Oreochromis niloticus: one gene and its partners. The protein of the gene in region 3 purifies or fractionates together with the protein of the main gene of each other region. This does not show direct contact. Links are inferred from orthologs where the notes say so. Each region holds a gene or a part of one and is shown on either strand. Other genes may lie near its edges.

Region 1 (7,543 bases), on a different chromosome or scaffold from region 3:
TTCTTGACTTTTCCAGTGCCTTCAATACAATCCGGCCCTGTCTGCTCCAGGAGAAACTAAACAGGATGCAGGTGGACCCCTGCCTGGTCGCTTGGATCTCCGACTACCTCACTGACAGACCACAGCACGTCAGGCTGAAGGACATCACGTCTGACCCTGTGGTCAGCAGCACAGGTCTTCACCTCTGACTTCTGTTACAACTCTGAATTATGGCATATTCGGAAGTTTGCGGACAACACAGCCATCATGGGGTGTATCTGGGATGATCAGGAAGAGGAGTACAGGAGTCTGGTGAGGAACTTTGTCACATGGAGTCACACAACCCACCTGCAACTCAACACCTCAAAGGCCAAGGAACTGGTTGTGGACTTCGGGAGGTCCAGAGAAGGTCCACTGCCGGTTCAGATAGAGGGAGAGGAGGTGGAGGTGGTCACCACATACAAGTACCTCGGGCTGTGGGTGGACAACAAACTGGACTGTTCACACAACACGCAGCAGCTGTATAAAAAAGGCCAAAGCCGACTGTATTTCCTCAGGAGGCTGAGGTCTTTTAACATCTGCAGGAAGCTCCTGAGGATGTTTTACCAGTCGGTGGTTGCAGGAGTACTTTTCTATGCTGTGGTGTGTAGGGGGAGCAGTACAGCAAAGAAGGACTCATCCAGGCTGGAAAAACTGATCAGGAAGGCTGGCTCTGTGGTCGGCATGAAGCTGGACACTCTGGTGTCAGTGGCAGAGAAAAGGACACTAAAGAAACTGCTGGACATTATGGACAATGCTGGGCATCCTCTGCACACAGTCGTAAACAACCAGAGGAGCCTGTTCAGCGACAGGTTGCTTCTCCCAAAGTCAAGAACCAACAGACTTAAAAACTCCTTTGTCCAACATGCCATCAGACTGTTTAACTCCTCACTGGAGGGGAGAGGGAGGGGAAACAGGAGGACAAAGGAGGGCGGGAACAACTGAGCTGTAGGTGCTTTTTAACACTGTGCAATATTTGTTTTGTTTTGTTTTTTTTCTTATATTCGACTGTGTTATATAGATACAGAATATTGTATATTCTGTATCTATATATGTGTATATATGGTGTATTTATGCTTATATCCTTACTCTCATTCCCCTTTATTGTATCTGTAACATGCAACTTCTTTCGGTGCTTTGCTACTGGAAACTGAATTTCCCGGAGGAACCCACCCGAGGGATTAATAAAGTTTCATCTAATCTATCTAATCTGATAAATACAGATTCTTAGACATGGCAGTTAGTTAAGTGAATCGAGATAATGGAAGGATAACCTGCATATGCAGAACTCATTTCACTGTACAGAATTGTTTGTTTGTTTGGGTGTTTTTAACCTTCATCATCCATTTCTTGCAGGACCTCTTCCTCCTCTTCATTACATTTCATCTCCTGGTCAGCTGTGCCTCCTGCTGGCCTCTCCACCTCTGTTGTCATCTCCTTGCCTGGTGGAAGGACACACCTGTGAGACAAACCTGCACAAAAACTAGAGGTCCAAGTCAGTAGTTAGCAGCCAGCTAGCAGCTAGAACCACCTCTGTCAGCGTGCACCCATCAGTCAAACATGCCTCTAAAAATGCAAATATTAAGCCTTAATCCAATTTCAACAGGTGAGTTATAAAGCATATAGTTAGGGCTGGACCAGGTGACCCTGAATCCTCCCTTAGTTATGCTGCAATAGACGTAGGCTGCCGGGGGATTCCCATGACGCATTGAGTTTTTCCTTTCCAGTCACCTTTCTCACTCTCTATGGCTACGTTCACACTGCAGGCGAAAGCGCATCAAATCCGATTTTTTTTTTGACCCTATGCGACCCATATCCGATCATGGTATGACAGTGTGAACAGCACAAATCCGATATTTTCAAATCCGATCTGGGTCACTTTCGTATGTGGTACTGAATCCGATACGTATCTGATGTGTTAGAAAGCGACTGCTGTTTGAACGGTCATGTCGCATTAAATCCGTCTTTTACATCACTGACACAAGACAGATGCCAATTATCAGCGCCGGAGAAGACATCGCGAACGCTTCCTGGCCATCCAGTGTAGATGTCAGTGAAACTGTTGGGAAGACAACGTGAACATTTTATTTGTACTGTATAATCTGCAGATTATCCTTTGAAGCACCGCTCCTCTAAAACAGCAATAAGGATCATTATTAGGTTATTTACATTATTATGTAAATAACAGAATAATTTAAAGCAAAAATTGGGAAACAAAGTCTGAAGTCTTTATATTAAGGGCCATCAGTCAAACAATATTGTTTGCTCTGGGTCTAAACAGAGCGAGTTGTGTGTGACATCTTCTTTTTAACATGCGGGTCGCTTTGAGCGTTCACACTAGAGCGCGTTTGCTGTCGCATTTTATTTGTAGTGTGAACAAGCAGACAAAAAAATCGGATTTGATCAAAAAATCGGAATTGAGCATTAAGACCTGCAGTGTGAACGTAGCCTATGTGTTAATAGACCTCTCTGCACTGTATCACACTTGTTATTAATCTCTGTCTCTCTTCCACAGCATGTCTTTATCCTGTTTTCCTTCTCTCACCCCAACCAATCACAGCAGATGGCCCCGCCCCTCCCTAAGCCTGGTTCTGCCAGAGGTTTCTTCCTGTTAAAAGGGAGTTTTTCCTTCCCACTGTCGCCAAAGTGCTTGCTCATAGGGGGTCATATGATTGTTGGGTTTTTCTCTGTATCTATTATTGTAGGATCTACTGTGCAATATAAAGCGCCCTGAGGCGACTGTTGTTGTGATTTGGCGCTATATAAATAAAATTTAATTTAATTGAATTGAAAGTTATAAAAACATTCATCAGGTACAGTTGTTCTGAACAGGGAGATTATCTATAGAGACCTCATTTTTAATACAGTCTAATAAACCAATTCTGCAATTCAAACAGGACATCAGTCAAAATAAGCTTTATAAAAGTATTTCACAGGGGGTTCCTAACAAAGAGCATGTGGCTAATTATACCAATGTTATTTTTGAACACAAAAGGAAATCTCAAACTAAAATTCTTTCCTTTTGGTTTAAATCTTTGAAAACAAATTTTAAAAAACTAAATAAACAGTAAAAGCTAACCCAGTTTACTGTTGCAGCTCTACACAGATCTGAAGCTATTTCATTAATAAATATGTCAGCTGCCCTGTATGAGCATTCTGCTAGTGGTTATCTCAAAGTTAGCAGTGCCAACTTCATCAATAAGGAGCTCCTATTAATATTTTATTTTCAACAACAAAGGGATTTAATTAGTAGCTGATAGAGGGAGTAGCTCAAAGTTGTTCTAGTTGACCCTAAACTCGATCAGAAGCAACAGAGCTTAAAATACATTAATAAATTCAGTTCATGAGCAAGTTTCAAAACTCAATAAAAACACATTCAGTAACCACAGCTGCAGCTTAGCATGCTAAAGCTCAACGACGTTTCACTTACTGATTTCTAACTATTAAAAGTTGAGTGATATGAACAAATCTATACACCGTTATTTTTCCCTACAGTCTCTCCACACTGCAGCTTAGCATTGAGCTAACTATGCTAACTAGCCGAGCTGCTAACTCAAAGACTTCAATAACTCTGGATGACATCCACTGAAAAAGTATACCAACCAGACGCTTACCTTATCCGGACATTTAATGTGCAAAATAATTATATATTCCGTTAAAATTCCGCCTGTGAACCGTGTGCTTTTCTTTTAGGAATAAAATGAATAATGTGTGGTCTTCACACACACGTTGGGGATGTTGTTTGCTCCTGCTAGCACAACCATATCCCTCCGCCAACAACCTCCTGTTAGCGCTGCTGCTGTTACGGGACTACATTCAGACAGAGCGGAGTGATACCTGTCCGTGGGGCTCACAGCAGCTGTTTTGATATGTGGCTTATTAAATGTTTTCCTCCTCGTAACCGGATGTTTTTGCTTATCGATGATAAATACGCTCAGTTTAAGCACCACACTCTGCCAGTTTAAGTAGAGTTCAGCTTCATGTCGGCACGCTAACAGTTGTTAGCATGCTTCTTATCTTTGGCATGCTAATGCTAAGCTAATTATTAGCAACACAGAGTTAATCGGTTTGGGACTGTTTTTATTTACAGAGTCTATAAACTCTGATTAAAGACATGAACGGCGAACATCAAAGGCTCTAATGTAACAGCTCCGGAATCTAGCTAAACTTTCCAGCCCAAAATGTCAGGATGGTTTGGCGATTCCTAACACAACAACCAACAAAATGTAAAAAGAAATCAGTAAATATATTTATATGTAAATAAGATACATGTTTACTAAGTCTAGTATTTGTTGTTGTTGTTGTTGTTATTGTTTTTGGCATAAATAAAGCATTTCATAAGTGGAATTGTGTAATTTATGTTTTTTCCATTTTAAAATTCGGACTGAAGGATGTTATTCTATGTCAGCCTAAAAGGCAATATCAACATGCATCATCATCATCATTATTATTATTATTATTATTATTATTATTATTATTACTAGTTTAAAAAAATCTCTCAGAACCCGATGACGCAAGCAGAGTGCGTGTGGCACGTGATGTCAGGGACCCGGAAGGAAGTTTGCACCAGTGTTGTTATAGCAGCTCCGCAGGTAAAGAGACGAAAAGCCCTCTCTGTAGCCGCTGCTCTTTGTTTATTTGTTTTTGTTTGTGGTCTCTGAGTGTCGCTATCATGAATGTGACGCTCGAGGTGAAGCAGTACATCTCCAAGATGATCGAGATCAGCGGGCCCGGGATGAAGGTGCTGCTCATGGACAAGGAGACGGTGAGGCACCGACCCAGGACTGTTAGCGGTGCTGGTGCTGAGCAGTGTTTACAGCAACGTTACTGTGTCTGATGGTGTCTGTGTGTGTGCGCGTCTGTGTGTTCAGACCAGTATAGTGAGCGTGGTGTACACTCAGTCTGAGATCCTGCAGAAGGAGGTTTACCTGTTTGAGCGGATTGACTCTCAGAACAGAGATAACATGAAGCACCTTAAAGCTATCTGCTTCTTGCGGCCCACCAAGGTACAAACCACCCTCTGAGTAACATTGTGTGTGTCTGTGTGTGAGGTAACACCATCTGCAACAGTGTGTTTGTGTGCTTGCTGCAGGAGAATGTGGAGCACCTGATCCAGGAGCTGAGGAGGCCCAAGTACAGTGTCTACTTTATCTGTAAGTTTCCACAGTGACAGGGCGGGAGTGAGAGGAGAACGGGGTTGCTGGTTTGGCACTCGTCTTCCTCGGACAGTTCAAACATAGTTCGGAAGCTAACATATGCAACTGAGTTTAGCTTTGCTGCAGAATCCTAGAGATCAGTGATGTAATCAGAAAATTCGTGATACACATGGATGAGGGCCTGCTACCAGCGAATCCTGCTGCTTTTAATGACGCCAGTCTGATTAAACACAGTGACACTGTCATCAAATGTGAGTCGTTTTCTACTTAGAGCTGTGGATTTGTCAGCTGAGCAGATATCAGAGATTTTTTCTGTGGAGTTAGGTGTGGGGCAGAAGTTTGTTTCAGTCTGTTTCATCTGAAGTTCATCACCTGACTTGTGTGTGTGTGTGTGTGTGTGTGTGTGTGTGTGTGTGTGTGTGTGTGTTTCAGACTTTAGCAACGTGATCAGTAAGAGTGAGATCAAGGCCTTGGCTGAGGCTGATGAACAGGAAGTGGTGGCTGAAGTCCAGGTGAGTGTCAGGACCTCAGAGAAAGCGTGGGGGTTTAATATTTCCACATTACTGATGATGTAAGATCTCTCTGTCAGTCATGGCGGTTCATTTTTAGCTGAACTTGACTGCCAAAATACATCTTAACAACACGATAACTTAACAACGTCACTATTATTACAATGATATTAGTCCAGAGTCTTTTTCTCTCTTCACCTCCTTGTTGCATGTGGAAACCTGGTTCAGTCTTTGGACAGATCATTATTTCACTGATTTAACATTTCCTCTAATAATGCAATAAATACTTGTTTATAATCAGAGTTTCAGCTGACTAGAGCTACATTCAGCTGAAAGTGTTCCTCTGTGACGACTTCATTTGATGACATCAGTAACATGTAGCCCAACATGCTAAGTTTATGTATATGTATGTAATATGAAAGAATTCCTTGCTAGTAACATCCAGTTTGGCCTGCGTGACCATCAGTGCTCCATTAGCCTCTCATCATTTCTCCAAATGTCAGGTGAGATCCTCCTGATGCTACTGATAGTCACAAATGGAGGAGGAGCTTCCTATGGCGGTTTGTGGTCGGGCCGAGCTGTTTGATCAAATTTAATTTTAATGCAGACACAGAACAAAACTGTGCCGAGAATTCATAGGATGTCTTGGAAAGCTGTCCTCCTCCCTGCGTGAGCATCACCATCACTCTGCTTCATGTTTGGTGTGAACACAGTTCATACACCTGAGTGACATCATCAAAACCAAAATAGCAGAAGTATAGCTTACTGTGTGTGTGTGTGTGTGTGTGTGTGTGTGTGTGTGTGTGTGTGTGTGTCTGCAGGAGTTCTACGGAGACTTCATCGCCGTGAATCCTCACCTCTTCTCCCTGAACCTGCAGGGAGTCACTCGGGTAAGAACCACAAGGCCCTCAGCTGTCAGAGCTCCACCCTAAAAAGCTCCACACACTGAAATCACATCACCTCTGTGTGTGTGTGTGTGTGTGTGTGTGTGTGTGTGCGTGTGCGTGTGTGTGTGTGTGCTTTTTAGGGGCGGAGCTGGGAACCCTCTATGTTGGCACGCTGCACTCAGGGATTGACCTCCGTCCTGCTTGCTCTGAAGAAATGTCCAATGATCCGCTACCAGTTGTCCTCAGACATGTCCAAACGGCTCGCGGAGAGCGTCAAGGTTTCCACAGCATCATCATCACACACGTCATCACTGAAAAGTGCTTTTAATGCCACTACAGGTTATTTTAGCGCCGTGTGTCCTGTTGGCTGTTCGAAGATGATGCCACCTCTGTGCTGTAACCTGAGCCCTTTGGTTAAAGCACTTGAGCCTCAAGCTGTTAACACTTTTACTCAAGTAGTACTCTGAGTAGTACTTTTATTCTTCAGTATTTTATTTGTTTGTTGTCAGCAAATCATCACGAAGGAGTACGAGCTGTTTGACTTCAGGAAGACTGAAGTTCCTCCTCTGCTGCTTATCCTGGACCGCAGCGACGATGCCATCACGCCGTTGCTCAATCAGGTGACTGGTCGCTGTCCTCTGTGACGTCGATGAAGAAATTAATTAAAGGAAATCATTTTACATTTTTAATAATTCTGTCATCTTTTACACTGCATCCTCTGCAGCTCATTTGTCACTTTAATTTGATGGATGTTGTGTGCCGCTACAAAATCAGCAAATCATAAATTCACTGGTTGTGTGTCTGTGTGAAGTGCATGCGTGTTTACGAGCTTTCGCTGTGTTGCAGTGGACATACCAGGCCATGGTCCACGAGCTGCTTGGCCTCAACAACAACAGGATCGACCTGTCCAGAGTCCCCGGGATCAGCAAAGACCTGAGAGAGGTGGTCCTGTCAGCTGAGAATGACGAGTTCT
Region 2 (7,028 bases), on a different chromosome or scaffold from region 3:
TCAGTTTCTGAGAATAAAAAGCTACCTTTTAGTATAATAAAGAGGACATGAATATGCATCATGGGAGTAACTATGTGATCACACTTGTGCCTTAGCCAGCAGCTGGCAGCTTATCATGTTAATGATAAAATGACCTTCAGCCTATCTAACACTGTTCAGTTGTGAGATGACAAAATGGGTCATGGTAAATAAACAAATATTACATTTTGGGAATATCGATTCCCAAAATGTGAGCCGTAGCCCCCAGGTGGGCTGCCAAGGAACTGCAGGTGGGCAATGAAGTCATTTACAATAAATCAATTTTATATTATTTACTGCCATTAGATATTTAGAAATAAAAAAAATAGAATGAATAAAGCAATATCGTGAAATTTCAAAATTAGATAATTAATTTTCTGACCTATTTTGATCCTGAACAATCAATAGTAGAAAAACACTAACATGAAGATGGTCCCAGAAATAAAGCTGTTAATGCAGAAGCTCAAATGAATAAATTAAAACACAAAAAAGAAAACACTTGTGATAGTGTGATTAAAGGTTTGGGTGATCCATAGAAAACGTTCATATTTTAAAATGGTAAGGCTCTGTCTTAAGTCTGGGAACGGCTGAGCTACAGAATTAGAATTAAGAGTTCCTTAAACTTCTGCAGCACTTTATCACAGTGAAAATGTAGCTTTTAGTTAGCTGTGGGCATAAATATAATGCTACAATTATCCTGTTCTTGCATCTTTTTAATTACTAAAGAACCCAACAAACCTATTCATCCAATAGCTACAACACTTGTACTTTGGCAGTGAATGTATGGTGCATATAAATAAGACTTTCTCATTAATCAGTTATCGGGCAGACTTCTGAAAGGTGTTTATCACATACATTCATATCTCCATTCCAATGAAAAATGTGCTTAAAAAGTCAGCACTGATCAGCAGAGTAAATTAAAGTATTATTTTTACTTTCCAGCCCGGTCCAGAGCCATGGCAGCAGTGTCTGGTGTCCCGTTCTCCATGTACATCATGCAGGCTTTCTCTATGTACTGGATGGCCTCTGGCATTTTCTTTTGTTCCTGATGCAAACACAGCAGAGTTACAATTGTGCTACTGAATCATTATCTCTATTTGCTTTATTATGACGTCACTGTGGTTTTAGAGTGGCTGCACTCACCTTCATCATCATACCAGCCTGTTCAATAGCCCTGAGGAAAGAAGAGTTTGAGTCAAACAGGTGTTTCCATGTTTGCAGCCACTTCAATATTACAGGTTATTAAGCATGATACTTACTTTGCAGCATGAAAAAGCCTGAAGGACAAGCTAAGGAAACAGCCAAACAAGAGTGAAACTGTGTCATACTAACAAATATATGGCTTACCAATAAATCAGATTACATTCTCCATTAATAAAATGTTAAACCCCTGATACAAACTTCCCACAGTCTAAAGTATCATCTTTGTTTGTCTAAAACACAAATGCATATCAGAAACAATCATATATGAAAGAACGCTAATTCTCATGTTTGACATTTGTTCTTGAAAATTACAAACAATCTGCAGCCACTGATTTAGTTACAGATAGTTCGAGCCACAATGGAGCACATTTAGTCTTCTAAGCTGCTTTAATTCTTCTTAGCAAAAATCAACAAGTTGCTAGAAATCTTCCTCAGAGGTTTGGGTCCTTGGAGACGCAGCAGGATTACAGTTGTTACAAATTTCTGGGCAGCACCTTACAAATGTGATTCTACTGTTCAACTTCGTCCCAGAGGTGCTCTGTTGGATTAAGACCTCCTTCGATTTTTGACACAAGGCAAGATGAATCCATGCCAACGTATAAAGTGCTCATGAAATGAAAACTCATCAGAATCAGGGGTGTAATAATTCTTCAAAGCCAGATTTGTTTTACCAGGGTTTGATGGCAGGGTTTTAGCTCAAATCTTAGTTTTCCTTGAGAGGTTGAATAACAAAATACATATGGGAAAATAATCAGTTTGCCACAAATCTTGTCACTTAATTCTTTCATTATAAACTGATGACATTTCAATATTTCTATGCAATATCTCCACGTGGGTCTCACAGTATGGAATGACAGAATTATAATACATTGTGTATGTTTGTGCCAGAGTCTTTCTGGTCTTGGTTTTAGAGTTTTTACACCCCTAGTGAGAATAACTATGGTACACTGTTAAATCTGCGATAAGCAGGTACCCTGGACCAAGCTATTACAGGATCCAGGGTGCAGGGTTAAAAACGGTTACACCCCCACACTGCCTGCACGCTTTGTGTTTCTGTTGTCTGATTGGCTGATTAAAGGTTTGCTTTAAAGAGCAGCTAACAAAGTGGCTAGCGATTGCACAGAATATATGCAGACTTGTGCCTTTCCTTTGATCGGGAAAGGATACGTTTTGTTTTCTGTGTGGTACTCAGCTTCCTTCAGATAAGCATCCTTTGCTTGTTCATACTGCTTGGCATTCTTGAAGCACACAGCTAGAAACAAAGCACAGAGGTTAGCTCACTGTGAAATTATATATTTTTAATATATAGATTAAAAAAACCCACTCCAGTTTTAAGCACTATAGTGTCGTTTCGTGTTTTACCTGCTTTGGCGTATTCTGATGCAGCACTGTCAAAGTCAGGCTTCCACTTTGTCAGACTCGTTTTTAAGCTGTAAACACACCACGAGGAACAAATAATAAACGAATAATACAACTATAGTGCGATGGATAAATAACCATAAAGTCACTTTATGTCGCATAACCTTTCAACAGAAAATACACAGTGGCCTTACAGCTAGCTAACGTGAGTAGTAAAACTACAGAGCAGGAAATAATCGTTTTTGTCCTCGCTCACCATTTCTCCGCTTTAGCTATGTGCTCGTGCGCTTCGTTTATCTTCTGAGCAGCCATGATGTTGATCGATCAACTCGGTTATGAGGAATATGTTATTGATAAACGACTATGGATGTTGCTTCGTCGATGTTTGGATTACCAGGAACTCCTCCTCGGCCGCAACGTCACCAGCTGTCGCAAGTTACGGATGCCGCATTGGACAAAAAAAACAACAGCAGGGAATGCGAAAATCTGGCTCTAGTACTGTAATGCAGCTAAAGAATTTGCTTTTTGTTTTTTAAATGAAAGACTATACAATCAGATCCATAATGGCACATTTTTTGGCAATTTCCCCTCTGTTCACCACCACAGTGGATTTTTAAATGAAACGATCAAGGTGTGATTTAAGTGCAGACTTTCAGCTTTAATTCCCATCCCAAGGTTTAGGTGTTTACTGTCTAGGGTTTACAAACAATGTAATTTTCAGGCCCTCGCTTTAAAACCAACTCATTTATAAGCTCAGTTTAAAACAACAACAGCCTTTGCTCAAAGTCTGGATTATGAATTTGGAAGCAATCACAAGAAAGTCTGGTGACGTGGGAGTCTGCAGTGTGGTTTCAAATTCCAGAAGTTTCACAAAGCTTCAGTCTAATGTTTGCTGATAATATGTTTTGTAAATATAAAGAAAAATAGAGTGCTAAATTAATGCAGGACTGCAAGGGCCTTAACTTAACCCTCCATGACTAACAGGTCTAACAGAACACCATGACACCACCAGTGTTTGGTAAGGTTGCAGGCACAACAAAAAAAACCACCCACAACTAATTCTGTAACTTTCCATCAGGGAGCGAATAGGCACTGTTAAGTCAGGGCGTGGGCCCATTGATTATCTTCAGTTCACAGTGTATTTATTTAAGTATCTTGTATTCATTCAGAAATTTGCAATCACATACTGGTTCTGTACTTTTTTTTTGTTATTTTTTCGTAGCTGAGGACAAGTGAAGGCGCAGGAGGCTATAGCAACTTGACATAGTGGGCCTCTTTAACATTTTCCAGATGTGTGTGGAGTGAATGTATGGAACCCGTACATGTTAATACCATTGGCAAAGCACCAGATAGTCAGTTTGCCATGCTTATGAGAGCTACGTCAAACTTTATAGGACAGTGCTCTTTTGTTCTCTTTGTCAAACTGCACTTTCCCTTGTGGTCTTTACTGTTTTTTCCTTGCCAAACATTAAATCAAATACACTTGAGCAGAATTCCTGAGAGCTTTATATGACTGTGAGAAAACAGGACAACTTGCATTGATTCTTCACACTTACACTAGATATTCACAGTCCTGTTTGTTGGACTGCAACCTCAAGTCAAATAAAACTTGTACATATCACAAATTTACCTACAGGGGCTTTAAAGGGATCAAGAATCTCAGTTGTGATACAAAAAGAAAACGTTTTTTTTTCATGGTGAAAAGAAAGTATATCTGCCCCCTTTTCTAAGGTTTTACATGTCAGGATATTGCAAAAAAAATGAATTAGTCATTGGTAGGTCTTAAGTTTAAATGAATACAGCTTGAATTGAACAACAAAACATGATGTATTACATTGTGCCATTATTTAAGTAAACGTAGAAACAGTGTGTGAAAAACTGAATGCACCCCATGATTCAGTAGCACCTTTTATAGCAATAGTTTGAAGCAATAATAAAGGTTTGCGGGGCATCATTTTATTCACAGCTCTCTTAAGGTCAAAACTGTGATCAGATTGAATTCCAGACTTTGACTGTGACATTGCAACACCTTTATTATTTTCTTTTGTCAGTCATTGTGTTATATGTTGGGCTCACTCTCCAGTTGCATGACCAATTTCAGTCAGACAGATGGCTTCACAACTGACTTCAGAAAACTTTGGTATACAGAGGAGTTCATAATCAACTCAATGACTGCAAGGAGTCCAGGTCCTGTGGTTATGAAACAAGCCCAATCTGCAGCCGTGCTAACATTTGGTGTGAGGTGTTTGTGCTGATATGCTGTGTTTGGTTTTGCCAGACATGCCACAAGAAGTCTCGTGGTTTATTCTGAGGCCATTTTCCAAACCAATGCCGTGCTGTCTTCATTTTAGAGAAAAGAGGCTTTTTCCTGGCAAACTTTCCAAACAAGCTATATTGGTTCAGTCTGTTTCTAATTGTACTGTCATGAACTTTTAACATTGAACATGCTTACTGAGGTCTGTGAAATTTGTAGTTCTTGTTTTTTCTTTTTTGCAAAGTCCCAGAGCCTGTGCTTAATTTGCTTGGACATCCACTCTGAATACAAACTGGCAACTGATATCAATGTTTTCCACTTGTTAATAATCTTTCTCGGTGTAGAATGATGGAATTCAGTGAAATTCATATGGACTTAGAACCTTTTCAAGACTGATGGGAAGCAACAATTGTTTCTGTAAGATCAATGCTGATGTATTTCCTTCTTGGCATTGTGTTAACACACACCCGAATGCTCCAGACTAGCAAACTGCCAAAACGTCTTTTATAGAAATGCTCAGAAGTTGCTGGTGATTAAATAATCAAGGGCACTTAATTACCAGGATCTGACCTCTACTTACCCTCTTAATTCTTTTGGGGGAAGGGAGGGTGTATTTATTTTTACCATGTAACCTCTATATTTTGACTTAATTTTTGTTAAATAAATAATTACAGGGTATAATATGTCATGTTTTGTAATTCTTCTGAGGCTTTATTTACCCAATTGTAAGACCTAATAAGGACCAGATTATGCACTGAAATCTTATAATTGATATAATTGACATCCTCTTATAATTGACATTATAAGAGAATGTGCCCTGTTTTTTTGTTTGTTTGTTTGTTTGTTTGTTTGTTTTTTACCAGAACTCTTATTCAAGATCCCATTCTTTGTAACATGCAGACCTAGTAGGTCTCTCTACATGCAGGCCTAATATTTGGTTCCTTTTTTTATTGAAAACGTTTAATAAATCAAAAAAACATGTAAAAGTAATTCATTCTGATTACAAGTGATTAAACGGTCTCTGTTTATAATTTTAAAAAAATGTATAAAAATGGAAATCATAGCCACCGGAAGCGGAAATGACATCACGGTGGCCCCGGTCTCTAATGGCTGAACAACAACAACTGTCTGCGACTGACAAACTTTCGCAAACTTCATCAGAGACAAAAGAAAGTTAGAGATACCGGCTTGTGTTGCTTCTATAACCGGTTAGGGTTATTTGTCTGTTCGTCTTATAGTCACAAATGTGGGATTACTAATGGATCCGAGGTATGATATTCCACGGAGGGCCGCCGGCGGTGGCGGCGGGGGCTCCGCGAACTCGTCCCCCGCTCTGGGGGCTCAGTCACGCCGCAGGAAGATGCCTCCCAGACCCGCTGATTTCAAACTTCAGATTATCATTATTGGCTCTCGTGGTGTTGGTAAAACAAGTCTCATGGAAAGATTTACCGACGACACTTTCTGCGAAGCTTGCAAGTCAACCGTAGGTGAGGACAGAAGGCATTAAAAGGTTTAGTTTTTTTTGACAACTTTTCATTTAATCAGCTAAAACATGTAGAACGGCTCCGGCTAAATACTCGAGGAGAAATGCTTAAACTACTGTGGGGTGCGCCCAGTGACCATAAATCCTCCAAGTTCACTGGCATAGCGACTAAACTTTATTTCTAATGCTAGCTGTAGCCCGCTAGGTATGTTGATAACAGTATCTTAGCCAGTTGACCATGGTGACTGAAGTAACAATAGCATTTCCTTTGACTTCAATCACATGAACTAGGTTTCCTTAAGCTTTTTTTAACGTTTGCATGTAGAGATTTTAGACTTCTGCTAAAGGACAGCGTTTTTATTAATTAAATACGAATGAATAATTGTACTTTATTACTGTTCTGATAATATTTGCAGAATATTATATTATAGGTATTATGGGTCTGAATTACTATGTTTACTTCTAGTTAGCCTGTTTTGGTTATGTTAACCAGGAAGTAGTCTTATCCAATACCACCTTGATTTTACTGATGTATCTCTACACAGAGAACTAACATGTTGCATATTTCTACATAAAAACACATTCTTTAATTATTTGATTATTTGACCACTGGTATGTTTACTTACTGAACACGAGATTGCCTTGTGACAAATTGCCAGTCGTGTTTGCAGATTAAAAATATACATGAGATCTGTTTATACATTCAGCTGG
Region 3 (6,983 bases):
TCAAGCTATATTCAGTTAATGGGCCACATACAACTGAATTTGATCTCTAGTGAGCCACACCAGTAAAACAGTTTCACAATAAGATACGTTCCTGTTAATTTATTCAAGTACAACTAAACATTTAACATTTAATTACCTATCGATGTGCAACACTGATGAAGAACAGCCTATACTAGCTTACAGTATCTCTCTAAAAGCACAAAACCTTCTTATTCTGAGTGTTTTTAAACTGAACTAATGTATTATTTTACTCTTTATGACTCAAAATTTGTCAAGATACAGAAATACTTTCAATTCAAATACAGTTTAGTGTAGGGATTAAGCTGTAATGTAAAAATGGCATCACTTTACCAGGTCTAGAAATGCATTTTATTGAAAAATCACAAACATTAAAAATCTAAACATTTTTCTTGCTTCCAAAGCTATCCAGTAAGCTGGACTAACCATCATGGTCATTTGGTATCCAAAAAGACTAAGTTATATTTAAACACTCTAATTACTCTTAGGTAGTATGGGCTATATAGTTAGTTAATAACCATATTAATAAACATTTATGAAGTCCATCACATATGATATACAGAAAAGGTCAGTCGATAGTTTTTAATTTCAAAGTCCTCAATTTTCCCCTGTGTGTTTTTAACATTCAAATTATGAGTAATGACTCAAATCATTACATCACCTATCACTGTCAGATATTTCGGTGTCTTGTTAGGATAAAGCAGGCATGACGTGATAAATAACATATGAGGTCCTGAAATTATAAAATAATAATAAAGTTTACAGTTAAATACAGAAACTGATTTTCAAAAAATTAAACGTCTTTTAACACCTACACTTATCAACAACAGAAATCCCCATGTGGTAACGAACCCATAGAGAGACCAAGCAGAACTCATATTTGTTAAAATCCGAGAAAACAGCGGATGGCAATAGACAACAAACTGAAAACGCGCGGTTTTCGCTCCGCCTGCAAAGATTTCGAGAACGGGCTCTCGCCTCCCGCTGAATTTACCACAACTCAAAACACCAGCTGTGCCTTTCGTTTCCAACAACACGAAAATAACATCTCAAATCAGCTTCCACAAGTTTACCGAGACCAATAAAGCGACCGTACACCCAGTTGCCGCTCTGAAGCAGCAGCAGATCGTAGCCATTGCTCAGTTAGAGCGCAGCTAGTACGCAGGATATGAATGGAGTCACTGCAAGCGGCTTGCTACATGCTAGCTAGTGTTTTCAAAAAGCTTTGCATGTATATTTCGCTTATTACTCACAACACGGAGTATTTTGTAGCCACACTGCGGACTTAAGACTCTAATTTAACAAAACGTTTAATTTTAAACCACTGTTTTGCCTCTATTTTCAGTCATTTTAACGCATCTGGGTTGACTTTCGTTAGCCTAGCTAGCTAACCAGCTAAGCCAACAAGCTATCAACAATATTGAGACGTACAGCTAGCTTGAGGCTTTGACATTCAAAACAAACCAGCGAGTGACACAATTTTAACACTCCTACTGCACAACGATGCCTCGATTTGACAAAGGCAAGGCAGTATTGTCTGCTTTGAAGCGTAAATGCAATTGCGTAGCTAGCTATCTCTCCTTGTAAGCAAAATATGAGTTAATGTTGGAATACTCTTGGATGAGGGGGGTATGCTTGGGAATTCGGTGGAAAATGAGCATGTTCGCCGGTTCGTGCGGCAGCGTGGCGCTTCGATTGCGGTAGCCGTGCAGTTCGCGGCTCGCGTGCAGTTCGCGAATATTGCAGCTTTGTAACAGTTTTTTGGATTAATAGAGAAATTGCTACATTGTAACAAACTCACCCGAGACGATAGAGGTGCAGGCAGCGCGGGGTCTCCAGGACAGCCTCGCACGGGCTGCTGTACAGGACCCAACTACAAGGCAGGAAACAGGAGACTTCCGGTTTGCCTGATTGAAATCTATTCCTCCTGCGTGTACCGTGGCAGAACTTTTCTTTCGACGTGCTTAGCAAAGTTTTTCGTACATTTAAACACCTTTCTCAGTAAATTTGTGGGGCTGTTTTTGTTCGTAAACCTGAAGTCTGAAGTCTTTTTTTAGGAAAAACGACTGGAGATTTGCAGCTGATATCGCGCGAAAAGCTAACCCTTGATGTTTAAAAACGAAGTAAATAGCACATACCTGGAAACGTCTAGGCCTGATAAGGCACATCCCTGATACAGTAGCAGGGCACTACTAAAAATTACTAATTTGTGCATCCTTTAATATAAAATAACTGAAGTTATGCATTGCTTTTCACTACTAATTATTTGTGTCCTCTAAAACTTCGTCTTGTAACTCCCTTATTCTAATGTACCTCCATTTAGGTATTTGTGGGTAAGTATAATTGGATTATAATTTCAAATAAAATACATTAAAATTAAATTTTTGCTACAGGGGGATTAGTCACAGACTATGCTATAAAGTGTTTATCAGTCAAAGTAGCCTAGTACAGCTCACAAAGCAAGCAGAAATAGTGTACCAGTTTACACAACAAATCTGATATGAATTATTTGTCTGATAATCAATATTCATATATACAACTAGGATACTACAGTTATACTGAAAAGCGATAAGGCATATTGTAGCATGTTAACTTTCCAAACAATGTTTAGTGTTCTGCCAACACCTGCTAATCAGGTTTGCTCACCTGGTCAATGTGGTGACCCTGAAGTATGCTGTTCAGCATTATAGTGTGCAAACGTTTCTATATGGTCCATATCAATAATATTGTTTGAGCACTGCTAAACAGAGCCAAAAGTAATTGCAAAAACACAAAAAAGACACAAATCACATGAGTAATCATGTCAGGAGAATTTGTCACAAGCTGCTACAAATAAAACCACAACTATCACTATTTTTTAACACTCCTTTTGCATGGAAATGAAGGAAAATAAAAGGAAATGAAGAGTTATTCCTCAGTGTGTGGTCACTTCTTTTCAGATTGTATGCCCCTAGAAAATAACCTCAACTCTGTTACAACTTGATGGCAGTTGCTGACTGGTTACGCTGAGAAGACATGCATGCAGTGCACTCGAATTTGTGGGGAACAGTTAACTGTTTTTATTTTTACTTGTTTTACTTAATTACTCATTACCACCATAATAATTATGGTTTTTTTTATTCATGTATTAGTTTATTTTTCTAAATAAGCCTTGATTGTCTTACTGTGTAGTAAAATTGTCAGGTGTGTGTGTGTTTGTGGGGGTAAGAGGGTGGTGTTAATTGCTTTGTGTATGTTGAACTGTTTGATTGTTCTTTGTTAAAACTTTTTTAAAACATATTTAAGAAATCAGTGGTATATGCAAACCATGAGAAGTACCACATGATATCACTTTAACACTTTAGTGTGTTAATAAAAATTAACATGTAATGTTACATGCAGTTCTAATGAACTGACTATCCATCCATCGATTTATTTTTAGGCTGGTCACAAACCAAGAACCATTGTGCTGGATATTATAGCTTGTTGATGTAACTATTTGTGATTACATATGCATATTTTGTATTCATACTGTATGTTTGAGTTATAGTCAAAAGAGAAAATGAAGGAGGCTATTTAATACATTTTTAGGGTTGTGTTTTATGAATAGAAATTTACTGTTATGACACCACTTAACTTTACAGCAGTCTCTGTACAGCTGTGATGTATTCTCCTTTACATTAATGATGATTAGAAACACTAGATGTAGTTGTTAGCTGGTTAGCTGGATAGACTATGGAATAATCCAGTTCTAGATTTTCATACCAGCTCATACCAGACAATAAACAGATATTCCAAAGTTAGAAAAAGGAAAGCTCAGTTTACTGAAACAAAGTCAATAACTACACTAAAACCATACGAAGATTTAAATGTAACTTTAAAAAAAAAAAAAACTTCTAACGGTTACCAGATATGACTAATATACTGGATAGCAAAAGAGTACTTGAATGCACCAGCAGCAACAGTAGTGCGTCGGTGCTCCTGTGTCACGTGACAGAGGTGATGGTTACTTTGCGGCTGGTGATGTGACAAGGTTAGCCTGCAGCCACTAGCAGTGGTTAGCGAGTTTGTTGACTTTTACATTTATTCGTTCTATCTCAGAAACAGAACGATTGCCTGAAAATGGATAACAGCGGAAAAGAAAAGGAAGCAAATGCTTTGATGGCCGAGGCTGAAAAGAAAATGAAATCGTCTCAGTCGTTTTTTGGAGCGTTGTTTGGGTGAGTCTGTCAGCTAGCTAACGTTAACGTTTGGCTAAAGGAGACAGCTATGCGGAAGGTTGGGAGCTGACCACAAGGGTTAAAAGCCAGGACAAAACGATTTTAAATAACTGTTGATTGCCTTTATAAGTTGTAGTTACTATTATGCGGTTATTTTCAAGGCTGTCGTTTAGCATAGCTACCTTTTCTCGGCTCGTCGTATAACTGGAAAGCGTTTAGTGTGAAAGATAGCTGGAAATAGTCGGTACATGCTCATTTTAGACTCCGCTTTAAGGCAGCTTTCATGCTAGAAATAGATTCAGTTGAACCCAAAGCTGAATTGTTTAACATTTTAAGATAATTTCACTTAATTGTAAAGGCAGCGCCTCCCCTATAGCGCCGTCTGTTGGGCAGTTTTCGGAAGGCCACTCAGTCCAAATCACGTGTCATTCACATTTGTTTACAGCAAAAGAAGAAAACGTACTTGTGATGTAGCGAAAGTGCATGTAAGACTAGCTCTCACTAACCTGTACAACGGGCTTTGCATATAACAACCTAAATGCAGGTTAATTTTTCAGGTTGGATTTTTTTCTTTTATTGTAGCAGGAGCTCACGTGCAAGGTTAAAGGCTATGTGTTATGTATGAGGCTGTAAAATCCGCGAGGGGTTTGTGGCGAAACTTGAAAATGTAATTGTCAAGATAGTTGTGTGTGGGTAATGGGACTGAAATCACAAGCAGAGTCAACACTTTTATATTTCTACTAATAAACGGTTTTACAAACCTTTCCTCACTATAAAATAGTAACTTAAAGAAAGTTTAAAGGATTGCACACTGAAGGCAAACATGGTCTTTTGGCGTCACTCAATGAAAAATCAGTGAGTGCCGGCTGGGAAAAGGACCGCTATAACTTGTTTCGACCAGTGACTTATTTATAAAAAAAAAAAAAAAAAGTAGATCAAATATTTCGCATGCCAATCCTTGTTCCTCTTCCTCTATGTTATAGGCATTCAGTTGAGGCAGTTGTACTATTTAAATTATAACATATCCCATAATCATTATGAGCAAAAATTAGATTTTGGCTTTAGATTGTGAGACTTGGGTGTGAGAGTGGGTTTCAAAATTGATTTGGTCGCTGTTTTGAAACGGACTTAAATATGTTTGTCAGCCCTGAAAATTTCAGAAGGCGGGCTTCTGTACATGTGAAGTAATGAGAAAAAAAATAATAAAAGGAATAAAGTTTTGACCCATTGCTTTTAAAATATTCATAATATGGTGCTAAAATTTTGCATGTAAGTATACTAAAAAGAAAAAAAAATCAGCTGATTATACATCTTTCCAAAGGGATTTTACCGAGTGAAGTGTTTATATCATCCCGTGATAATCTGCAATGGATGGATGTCTTATTAAGAAAAAAAAAACATGTTTTGTCACACAGTGGCTCCTCAAAGCTGGAAGAAGCCTGTGACATGTTGGTGAGGGCAGCCAACATGTACAAAATGGCCAAGAATTGGTGTGGTAAGATGATTGTCACATTTCAACACAACAAATGTATTGAATGCCTCTTTCTTTTTTTCCTATGTGCTTCAGTGATTTTAAAATGCAACAATTTATCTTCTTAATAGCTGCAGGAAATGCATTCTCCCAAGCTGCTCACCTTCACCTGCAGATGCAAAGCAAACACGATGCAGCAACCAACTTCATAGATGCTGGAAATGCCTTCAAAAAAGCAGATCCACAAGGTAAACTATACACATCACTTTGGGGTATATAATATAGATGAAGTACACTTGTAAGTTTTACACCTTTTCATATAAAAGCTTTAGATAATGAAAGTGAAAATGGTTTAAAAATGTTATTAAATCTTTTATTTACTTTATTAAATCTTTAACGTCATACAAATGCTATAAACAGTGAAATTCCTGATTAGTGAGAGCATGTTTGAGGTACTCTTTGAGTACTTCAGTACTGTTGAGGTTTCATTCCTTCTGCTCCACGTGTCCTTCCATAAACTGAGGTGTCTGATGAGTCATTTGATTATTATGATATTACTCATCGAGTTTAAGCTGCTTCACCTGACAAACCTGCAGGACTGGCTGCAGATAAGAGAGTAATCATGTCAGGAGAATGATAATTTTGATAAATCCTAATTTGATTTAATTATTTAATGAGCACCCATCTATCTGCTGTTTATTTATCACATGACAGCTGCACATAAGTTCTGCATCAATAAAAGAAAAGCGGAAAAGAATTTGAGTAAATTTTATTTTATTTTTTTTGTTTTTTTTAAAAATTAATCTCATTATTTCATTTTAGCTGCTATGATTTAGAGATATTAAAAGAGTGCCACCACGTGGCATTAAAAACTTGACGTACGATACTTCATAGTCGTGAGTAGTGCAGTGAGTTTGTCTGTAAGCCTTTAAATGAGACTTAAATATCAGCATTCTAAAGTTTTCCTTGTGCTTTGATGCCAATTTTTGTACTGCTGAAAACAGGGCGTTATGAAAGTGCAGGCATTAATTAATATTAATAATAATAATTCAGTGTCCTATCTAACAACCCACAGGGCAGTGGCTAAGAGTTTAATGAAAAAAAGTTTTTTATTTTTAACTATTAATGCAGTTTCATTAACACAGTATTGTATATTATTTCACTTTCAGTCTGAAAAATGTTACAAAAGCCATGAAATAAATATGGTCTAGTACACCCCATTCCCCAGTTTAGACTCTCCCTGTTACTGCAGATTTTTCACCATGTAAAACAAACGGCAGTGGATGGAGCAGCTA
Region 4 (7,118 bases), on a different chromosome or scaffold from region 3:
CCTGGAAGCCGAGCGCCCGCCTTCTCGGTCAAGAGACGAGAGCAGCCCGGCCGCCGTAAAGACAGCACCCAGTCCCTTTACCTCGACGGCTCAGAGTGCGACTTGGTGCTGCGTTTTTCTTCCTGTCCTCCTTCAGCCGCCTCTTCCTCTTCTTCCATCTCCACGGCTGCGCCCACTCCTCAGCTCCAGCACAGCGGCACGAAAGTCCCAAATGTCCACAGACGGTTTTCTGACCCAGACATCCCGTATGTGGATGATGAAGTCTGAGCAGGGAGGAGCACAAACGACTGGAACGGCGAAGAGGATTAAGGGCGGCGACCCGCAAGCAGACAAACGAAACGAATTCAAACGCTCTCAGATTCGACGCAGGCGGCAGCAGAGCGCTCGGAGAGGCTGGAACTTGATGTGTGTATGAAAGGAAAGGAGAGACGCGACGACACGCGCAGCTGCTGCGGCTCCACATGCATGAACCCAGCTCACACAAACTGCAGCTGCTGCTGTCTGAGGGAACTCGATCAGCCAATGCAAACGTGTCGTTAGTAAAAAGGACTGGACCACATGTTGCCAAGCACCTTTTCAATCTTTTTAATATATTGTCCTCACTGTTGATTGCTTCAGTTGGACCAGAGGCAGTTTCCTCCCGTAGCCTCATAATGATTTTTTTTTTTTTAAATTTGTGCTAATTCAAGAAAATATTGCAGGTTTCAGTCGCACTTTTCATTTCTTAGTTCTCCCAGTGAGTGAAACTCGCTCGCTGAAACATTAGCTAGTGCCTTGATGTTGTACATTGACTTGATAAAGAAGCTCATTCTCATGTCACGATGATGGAACGGTGCTCGTAGAGGGAGGGATGTGTTTGTTGTGGAAAACAAGGACCTAAACCTGCACATTGTGACTGTTGCACACACACAAAAACAAACAGCTTTTTCTGTTCACCTTCATGTTTTACCCGCCGCACAACACACACCAGATAGGAAATCATTGCATTCATGCAGCAAAGGGAACGGGAGCAGCACACGCCACTTTCTCCACAGAAACGACAAAAAACCCACACAAACCCAGCCGTGATCCAAGAGCGGTGGCACCACGTGTCCTTGAACTTCCCCTCCTCTAAAATCACTCAGTCCCATTATTAGAAAAGTGCTGAAGCACAGCTCCGGCCAACTTTGTATGAAATGTAATACTAATGTTCCTCTCTGACTGCTGACGATGATGATGATGATGTATGATGATGTTGGTTTGTCTGGATTATGAGGAAGATGTTCTGATGTGTAACAGAGTGCATGGTGACTTTGACTGAATGAGCTGTAATGTTTATTAGTAGTAACATGAAAATACAGTACATGATGCTTGTAACGTCCGCTGCTGTGTGTTTCCATCACGCACAATTAGAACGTTTTTCTTTTACCCTGGAAACAGACGATGGTGATAAACAAGGGTTATTAAAATAAAACTGTAGGACGTTTATAAACTCTCCAGGAGTTAGTCTGCTCCAAATTAGGTTCATAGGTTGACTTGGACCTTCAGCACAGACAAAATGTAGTAACATGAAACTAGAAATACTGCACCTAAATTCAAAATTCATTCACCATAGACTCCCTTCATTGCATTAGATTAGGTACATGTTGCTAGTACTGGGTACAGACCACCTGGTGTGGTCTCCTGCTGGTGTAGCTCATCTGCTTCAGGGTTTAACATGTTCAGAGATGATCTTCTGCACTCCTATAAGCTCCAAGCTGTCAGGCCAGCCTCTGAACTTTAGCATCAAACTGCCCCTCGCTGGATATTTGCTCTTATTTGGATCTTTATCTGTAAGCCCCAGAGATGGTTGTGTGGGACAATCCCAGCAGATCAGCAGTCTTTGAAATCCTCACACCAACAACCACTTAAATCCCCTTTCTTGCTCATTTTGATGCTCATTTTGAACTTCAGCGGGTCATCTTGATTATATATTTAAATACACTGACTTGCTGCTGTGTGATTGGCTGATTAGATATTTGCATTAACCACTAGGTGAACAGGTGTACCTAATAAAGTGGCCGGAGTGTGTATGTTTAACATTTTGCTTTAAGATGGCTAAAACTCCCAGAGGTGGGTATAATTTTAGTCTTTCAGAGTCGTCCCTGCATTAAACAGTCATTAAAACTCGGGTCAGGTCTTCTTAAATGAGCCGCTTCTTTGTCGCAGTAAACTGCAGCCGTCTGCACAGACCTCACTGTTTTTGATTTTGTGGGTGTTTTGTGTGGAGTGGAATTGATGCACCTTTAGCACACAAAGGCTCCACAGTTCAGGATCAGCTGCCACAATGCAAGATCTGTTTTTCAAGTGATGTCATACGAGTTATTTCTTCAGACTTCATAAAGCTGCACCAGAGCCGCACACAGGAAATTACACCAACATGAGTTTTAACAGTGTCACGCAATGCGCCCCTTGAAGTGGTTACATTTATTTTTACCATTTTTACGCCCTGAACTGCGGTCAGCATTTTCCTTCCTGGTCGTGGGTGATTTATCAGCCTTGCACACCATCCACTGTTAAGCAAATTAAAGTTGATGTAGTTTCACTTACCTCCATGCAGGTTGGTATACGTGAGTATTGATAGATGATTGTTTTCCTCTCTGCACCACCCTCACAGCTGGGCATGTTCAGGTTGAAGGGCGCTGCAGTGGTAGTTATGTGAGGTCTTTATAATTATTTGTTAATCTAGTTCAAAGTGTTTATCCCACCTAACAGGTGCAAACAAAGTCCTGAAGCGATCAAGGCCTGAACAGACTGGGACTATTTTTTTGACATGAAGACTAAAATTGCTGCTCTGAGGATTTGAACGGGCTGTGTCATGTGACCTGCCGGACTGCAGACAGACCACCTTCTTGAACTTTATCCACAGGAATCCACAGATGCCTCATATCTGGAAAACGCCTTTAGCAGCTCCAACTTCAGCCCACTGGTGGTGCAGAAGTGTCTGAGCCACAGATAAGAACCTTGGTGAGAAGATTCAGACAACTGTCTCCAATCTGTGCTCCACACTGCAAAAATAGCTATGATTCTAGAAGCTGTAGATGATAGGCATAAGAAAAGGTCTAAACACTGAGTGCCCTGACTCATCTTTGCTGCGCCACTAAATAAAGTGATGCAGACAGTGTACTGAATGGCCTATTATACTTTACGCACTGTAGTATAGTGATAAGCACAACATGACTTTATATCAAGTGCTAATCTTTCATTCCATCTGTTTACATGTAAGGCAGTTTGAGTGTCATAGATACCGTACAGCAAAATATAACCCATGTTTTATAAAACAAAACATAATCAGTCAATATAGGCATACATGGATACTTGATAAACTATCAGGCCACCACCCAGTGCAATGTTTATTCCACAATTACCCTAAATTAACAGTACTGAAAATATCAAACTCATTTTCTATGTTTCTGTAACGGCTGAGCCACCAGTGTGTCCAAGCCTGACACTCAAAAATGATATTTTTCATTTTATTAATGTTATCTTTTACAAAAAAGCTGAAAAACAGCAAACCACATCATTATTATCATCATTATTATTATTATTATTATTATTATTATTATTATTATTGTTTAATGGCATTGCTGAAAAGAAAAAATCGTTGTTTTTTTTTGTTGAACGTTGTGCTTGACTCTCAGAGAAGTCCAGTATGGCGCCTCAAATTGGGGTATAAAAAAGTGAATTTAGTTTTTTATTTGCCCAATAAATAAAATTTTAAAAACAATATAACTTTTAGTTTTACCCAAATACATAAAATGGTTATGTTTGAGTGTTTTTATGGCAGTATTTTTTTAAGAACTGTATATAAACACATACAAAACATACATAAATAAAAAAAGTACTACATACAGACATGTTGTGGTTTTCGTGCCAGAATGGTGTGTTTTATATTTATTTTATTTTATTTCTCTCGAATAGAGAGAAAGAGATTAAGATAAAACTTTGGGGTCTAACGAGATCTTATTGATAACAACAACAACAATAATAATAATAACAATAATAATAATAATAATAATAATAATGAGTCTAGCTTTTTAAATTGAAATTTTCAATGACGACGTAAAAAAAAAGAGGCGGGCGACGCTCCGCCCATAACGTCTGCGCCGCTCTGCTTGACGTCAAACTGCTGCGCCGCTGTGCGGCTTCAAACCAAACATGGCTTCCCGACTAGAAATCAATTTCATCAGGTTATTGTCTCGCTGTGAGTCTTTGGCGTCGGAGAAACGGGGAGAGACGGAGTGGAGGCTTGAAAAGGTAACCCGGCACGGCTCGGAGCGGCTGTAACGACCATGTCGTGATGACGTTAGCCTGACTGTTGTTGTTGTGAGCCGCTGTTAGCCACGTCGTCACCTAAACCTTTCTGTTTGGTGTCGGGAGGCACATTTAAGCTGTTCACCCCTCGCGCACAGGTTCAATCATAGCCGAGATGTCACCGTAGCGACACACGGCGAGTCTGCGCAGTCTGCTACTCCAGATTTGCTGTATTTTAGTGTTTAATCTCGTTTCTGAAGCTTTCCTTTCACCTATGTTCCTCGCAGAAGATCCTCCGTATGTTCATATCTTTAACAGTAACTTTATTTATTTATAGCATTTTTTTAAAAAACGATCGGCTGCGAATCAGCTACAACCCGAGTTTTCCTCCAGCCGTCCAACCTCTGCTGCCTTATAGAAAGTTAAGTCAGGAGCTGCAGTCAGGTCATGTGCACCAGCGGGGTGTGATGCAGCCTCTAAATTACATCGCGATATTTTAGAGAAATATTTGCGATAATACTTATTATGCTATGAAAAATAGTGCGCATCATGTTGGGTGAAGGACATCCATCCACCCATCCTTTCTTCTTTTCCAGTGAGCTGCTGACCTTAAAGTGTGGCTTTTATTAAGCAGCAGTGTTGTAGTGCAGCAGCAGTGACACAGCAAAAGTCAAATGTAAGCACACAAGTACTCCAGGTAGTCCCAGAAAGTTGTTTCTGTTCATCTGGGCATTTTGTTTTCAGTGGGAGAAACAATTCATCACTCACCTGTGACTTCTTCCTCATTCTCACCTCGCTGCAGTTTTCCCCAGCCCTTTAAACATTTGCATATCATCCAAAACCAGCACCAGCCAAGTTTCATGATCTTTAATATACTATTGTCATAATCATTGATGGTGGGCGCGAGAACCATTCAGAGGTCACAGGGGAATGGTAGGTGAAAGGTGAAAGACGTACTCTTAGGCCCCCTCCTCGGTTCAGAGATGGTCTTTCCTTTTTCACATAAATGGCCTCCTTTACTCCTTACTCCTTTGAAAGCCGCAGAGTTGCAGTGAAATACTCTGGGTCGAGTTTTCTGTGGAAATTTAGTTTTTGTTAAACTAAAGTAACTTAAACTTGTAATTCTTAAGGAGGGCACATCCTGGCCAGGTGAGGTGTGTCACAGGGCTTACATGGAGAGACAGGTAACCACTCACACCCACACTGTTGATCTGTGGAACCAGCACACCCTAGACAGGGAGTCTGGATCGACTCCCTGTATAACTAATCTGATCTCTGAGTCTTAACCAGTAGGCAGTAGAGATCGTAGAGCCGATGGGTGAGGGGACTGGCCCGATTTAGAATCACCAGTTAACCACAGATGCATGTCTTTGTGCTGTGTAAACTCCACACAGAAAGGCCCCACACTGGATTCGAACCCAAGACACCGGCTCCTAGCATCTCCTCCTTCGTAGTGTTTGTGCCTCTAGTGGTGAAACATGTTTGTTGTTGCCACCTTCATCAGGAACAGCTCTCGTTCATATTTTGCAGAGCAGTGAAGTTGTTGAGTAGCTCCCTTATTAAGTCCTCACACTGCTCTCGTACTCAGATATGCTTGGGCGGGGCCTCAAATCAAAACAAGTAGTTGAACATTTTACCTCGATTAACATTAACAAAGGAGTTTCCTTTATTTACTTGTTCTTGCCCCCATAGTTTGCTGACAGGGTTTGACCTGTAAATGTGCTCAGCGGTTAAAGCTGCGATATTGTGATCGCGCTCCAGCTGTTGAAACAGATTGGTGGTCTTACCTTTGGACACTGAAACTGTGTTGAGGTCTTTTTACATCATGCTTCATGTCATGGAGGCACGTAACTGCGTGAACTCTCATTGGGTGAAATGTTAACAGAATTTAAATTTAAAACAAAAAAAATGACATGGACCAGATCACATCAGTTGGGGGTTCTGAACATCGGTTTTGATTTATTTTCAATTAATTACGCGGCTTGTGTTGTTTTGCTGGGAAACATAAATGCATAGAGTTGCTATATGAGACTTTTATAACGTAAAGATTTGTACTGCTGTTTTCATGGACGATGTGATTGTGGTTGTTCGGTGAAGGGAAATTACTGCTAACTTTTGTTACTAAAACTTTGACCACTAGGGGGCAGCACTACTAACAGGTTTCTTTTTAGTAACCGCTCCTCATGAGATCTCCTCTTTTGCCAGGCTGTCGTTTAAAATACAGACGTGCCTGTTTTTAAATAAAGGTTACAGTGACACACTGCACCCTCTTGTGGTGCAAAGTGGTATTACAACAAAGTGCAGCTTTTATCTTTGACACAGCACACATGTGTTTGGGTTAAATTCAGAGCAGTTGCCTGTTTAAATTCCACTGAAAGCTTTAATTTAGTTTATGAGGTTTAAATAGTGTGAATGTGTGTGTGAATGGGTGGATGTCTGGATATGTAAAGCGCTTTGGGGTCCTTAGGGACTAGAAAGCGCTATATAAATACAGGCCATTTACCATTTACCATTTTAAACCCAAGAATTAACAATAAGCAGCTTTAAAGGAACAGTAGCTGATTTAAATGTGTGACCTGCAGCTTTAACGCAAACGAGTAACAACAGGCGTCACCAGGCCACTTGGGACTGAATAAATCCAAACGCCTCTTCTCGGTGACCTCGTGTCACGGTGTACCGAGTGGCTCCCTACAGCTGAGCAGTGAAGACCCTTTAATCTGAACCAGCAGGATAAACCAATCAGCTGCTTGATTTTTACTTTTAGAGTAGATGAAAGGTTCGAGTAACTAAAGTAACAACAGTCAGTACGACCCTGACAGCTGTCAAACACTTTCTTCTTGCACTGC

What was found.
Region 1: the proteins of napab (region 3) and vps45 purify together in Homo sapiens (affinity purification with mass spectrometry; 3 studies listed by BioGRID and IntAct, with this or other methods). This does not show direct contact. The link is inferred for Oreochromis niloticus from reciprocal best matches to the Homo sapiens genes NAPA and VPS45.
Region 2: the proteins of napab (region 3) and napgb purify together in Homo sapiens (affinity purification with mass spectrometry; 3 studies listed by BioGRID and IntAct, counting the BioPlex papers as one, with this or other methods). This does not show direct contact. The link is inferred for Oreochromis niloticus from reciprocal best matches to the Homo sapiens genes NAPA and NAPG.
Region 4: the proteins of napab (region 3) and use1 purify together in Homo sapiens (affinity purification with mass spectrometry; 3 studies listed by BioGRID and IntAct, counting the BioPlex papers as one, with this or other methods). This does not show direct contact. The link is inferred for Oreochromis niloticus from reciprocal best matches to the Homo sapiens genes NAPA and USE1.

The regions. Positions count from the first base shown.
Region 1 is NC_031985.2:38,208,358-38,215,900, reverse strand, and holds the start of vps45 (vacuolar protein sorting-associated protein 45), read left to right. Parts: upstream 1-4,539; 5' UTR 4,540-4,690; coding exon 4,691-4,783; intron 4,784-4,889; coding exon 4,890-5,024; intron 5,025-5,110; coding exon 5,111-5,171; intron 5,172-5,606; coding exon 5,607-5,686; intron 5,687-6,504; coding exon 6,505-6,573; intron 6,574-6,710; coding exon 6,711-6,848; intron 6,849-7,079; coding exon 7,080-7,190; intron 7,191-7,416; coding exon 7,417-7,543. UniProt on the Homo sapiens protein: May play a role in vesicle-mediated protein trafficking from the Golgi stack through the trans-Golgi network.
Region 2 is NC_031982.2:24,895,122-24,902,149, reverse strand, and holds the start of napgb (N-ethylmaleimide-sensitive factor attachment protein, gamma b), read right to left. Parts: upstream 3,005-7,028; 5' UTR 2,893-3,004; coding exon 2,837-2,892; intron 2,652-2,836; coding exon 2,584-2,651; intron 2,474-2,583; coding exon 2,389-2,473; intron 1,296-2,388; coding exon 1,278-1,295; intron 1,193-1,277; coding exon 1,162-1,192; intron 1,064-1,161; coding exon 954-1,063; intron 1-953. Other genes in the region: rab12 (ras-related protein Rab-12), read left to right, coding at 6,093-6,321. UniProt on the Homo sapiens protein: Required for vesicular transport between the endoplasmic reticulum and the Golgi apparatus.
Region 3 is NC_031979.2:33,407,382-33,414,364, forward strand, and holds the start of napab (N-ethylmaleimide-sensitive factor attachment protein, alpha b), read left to right. Parts: upstream 1-3,970; 5' UTR 3,971-4,119; coding exon 4,120-4,217; intron 4,218-5,632; coding exon 5,633-5,712; intron 5,713-5,819; coding exon 5,820-5,936; intron 5,937-6,983. UniProt on the Homo sapiens protein: Required for vesicular transport between the endoplasmic reticulum and the Golgi apparatus. Together with GNA12 promotes CDH5 localization to plasma membrane.
Region 4 is NC_031986.2:44,592,912-44,600,029, forward strand, and holds the start of use1 (vesicle transport protein USE1), read left to right. Parts: upstream 1-4,118; 5' UTR 4,119-4,176; coding exon 4,177-4,275; intron 4,276-7,118. Other genes in the region: unconventional myosin-IXb, read left to right, coding at 1-267.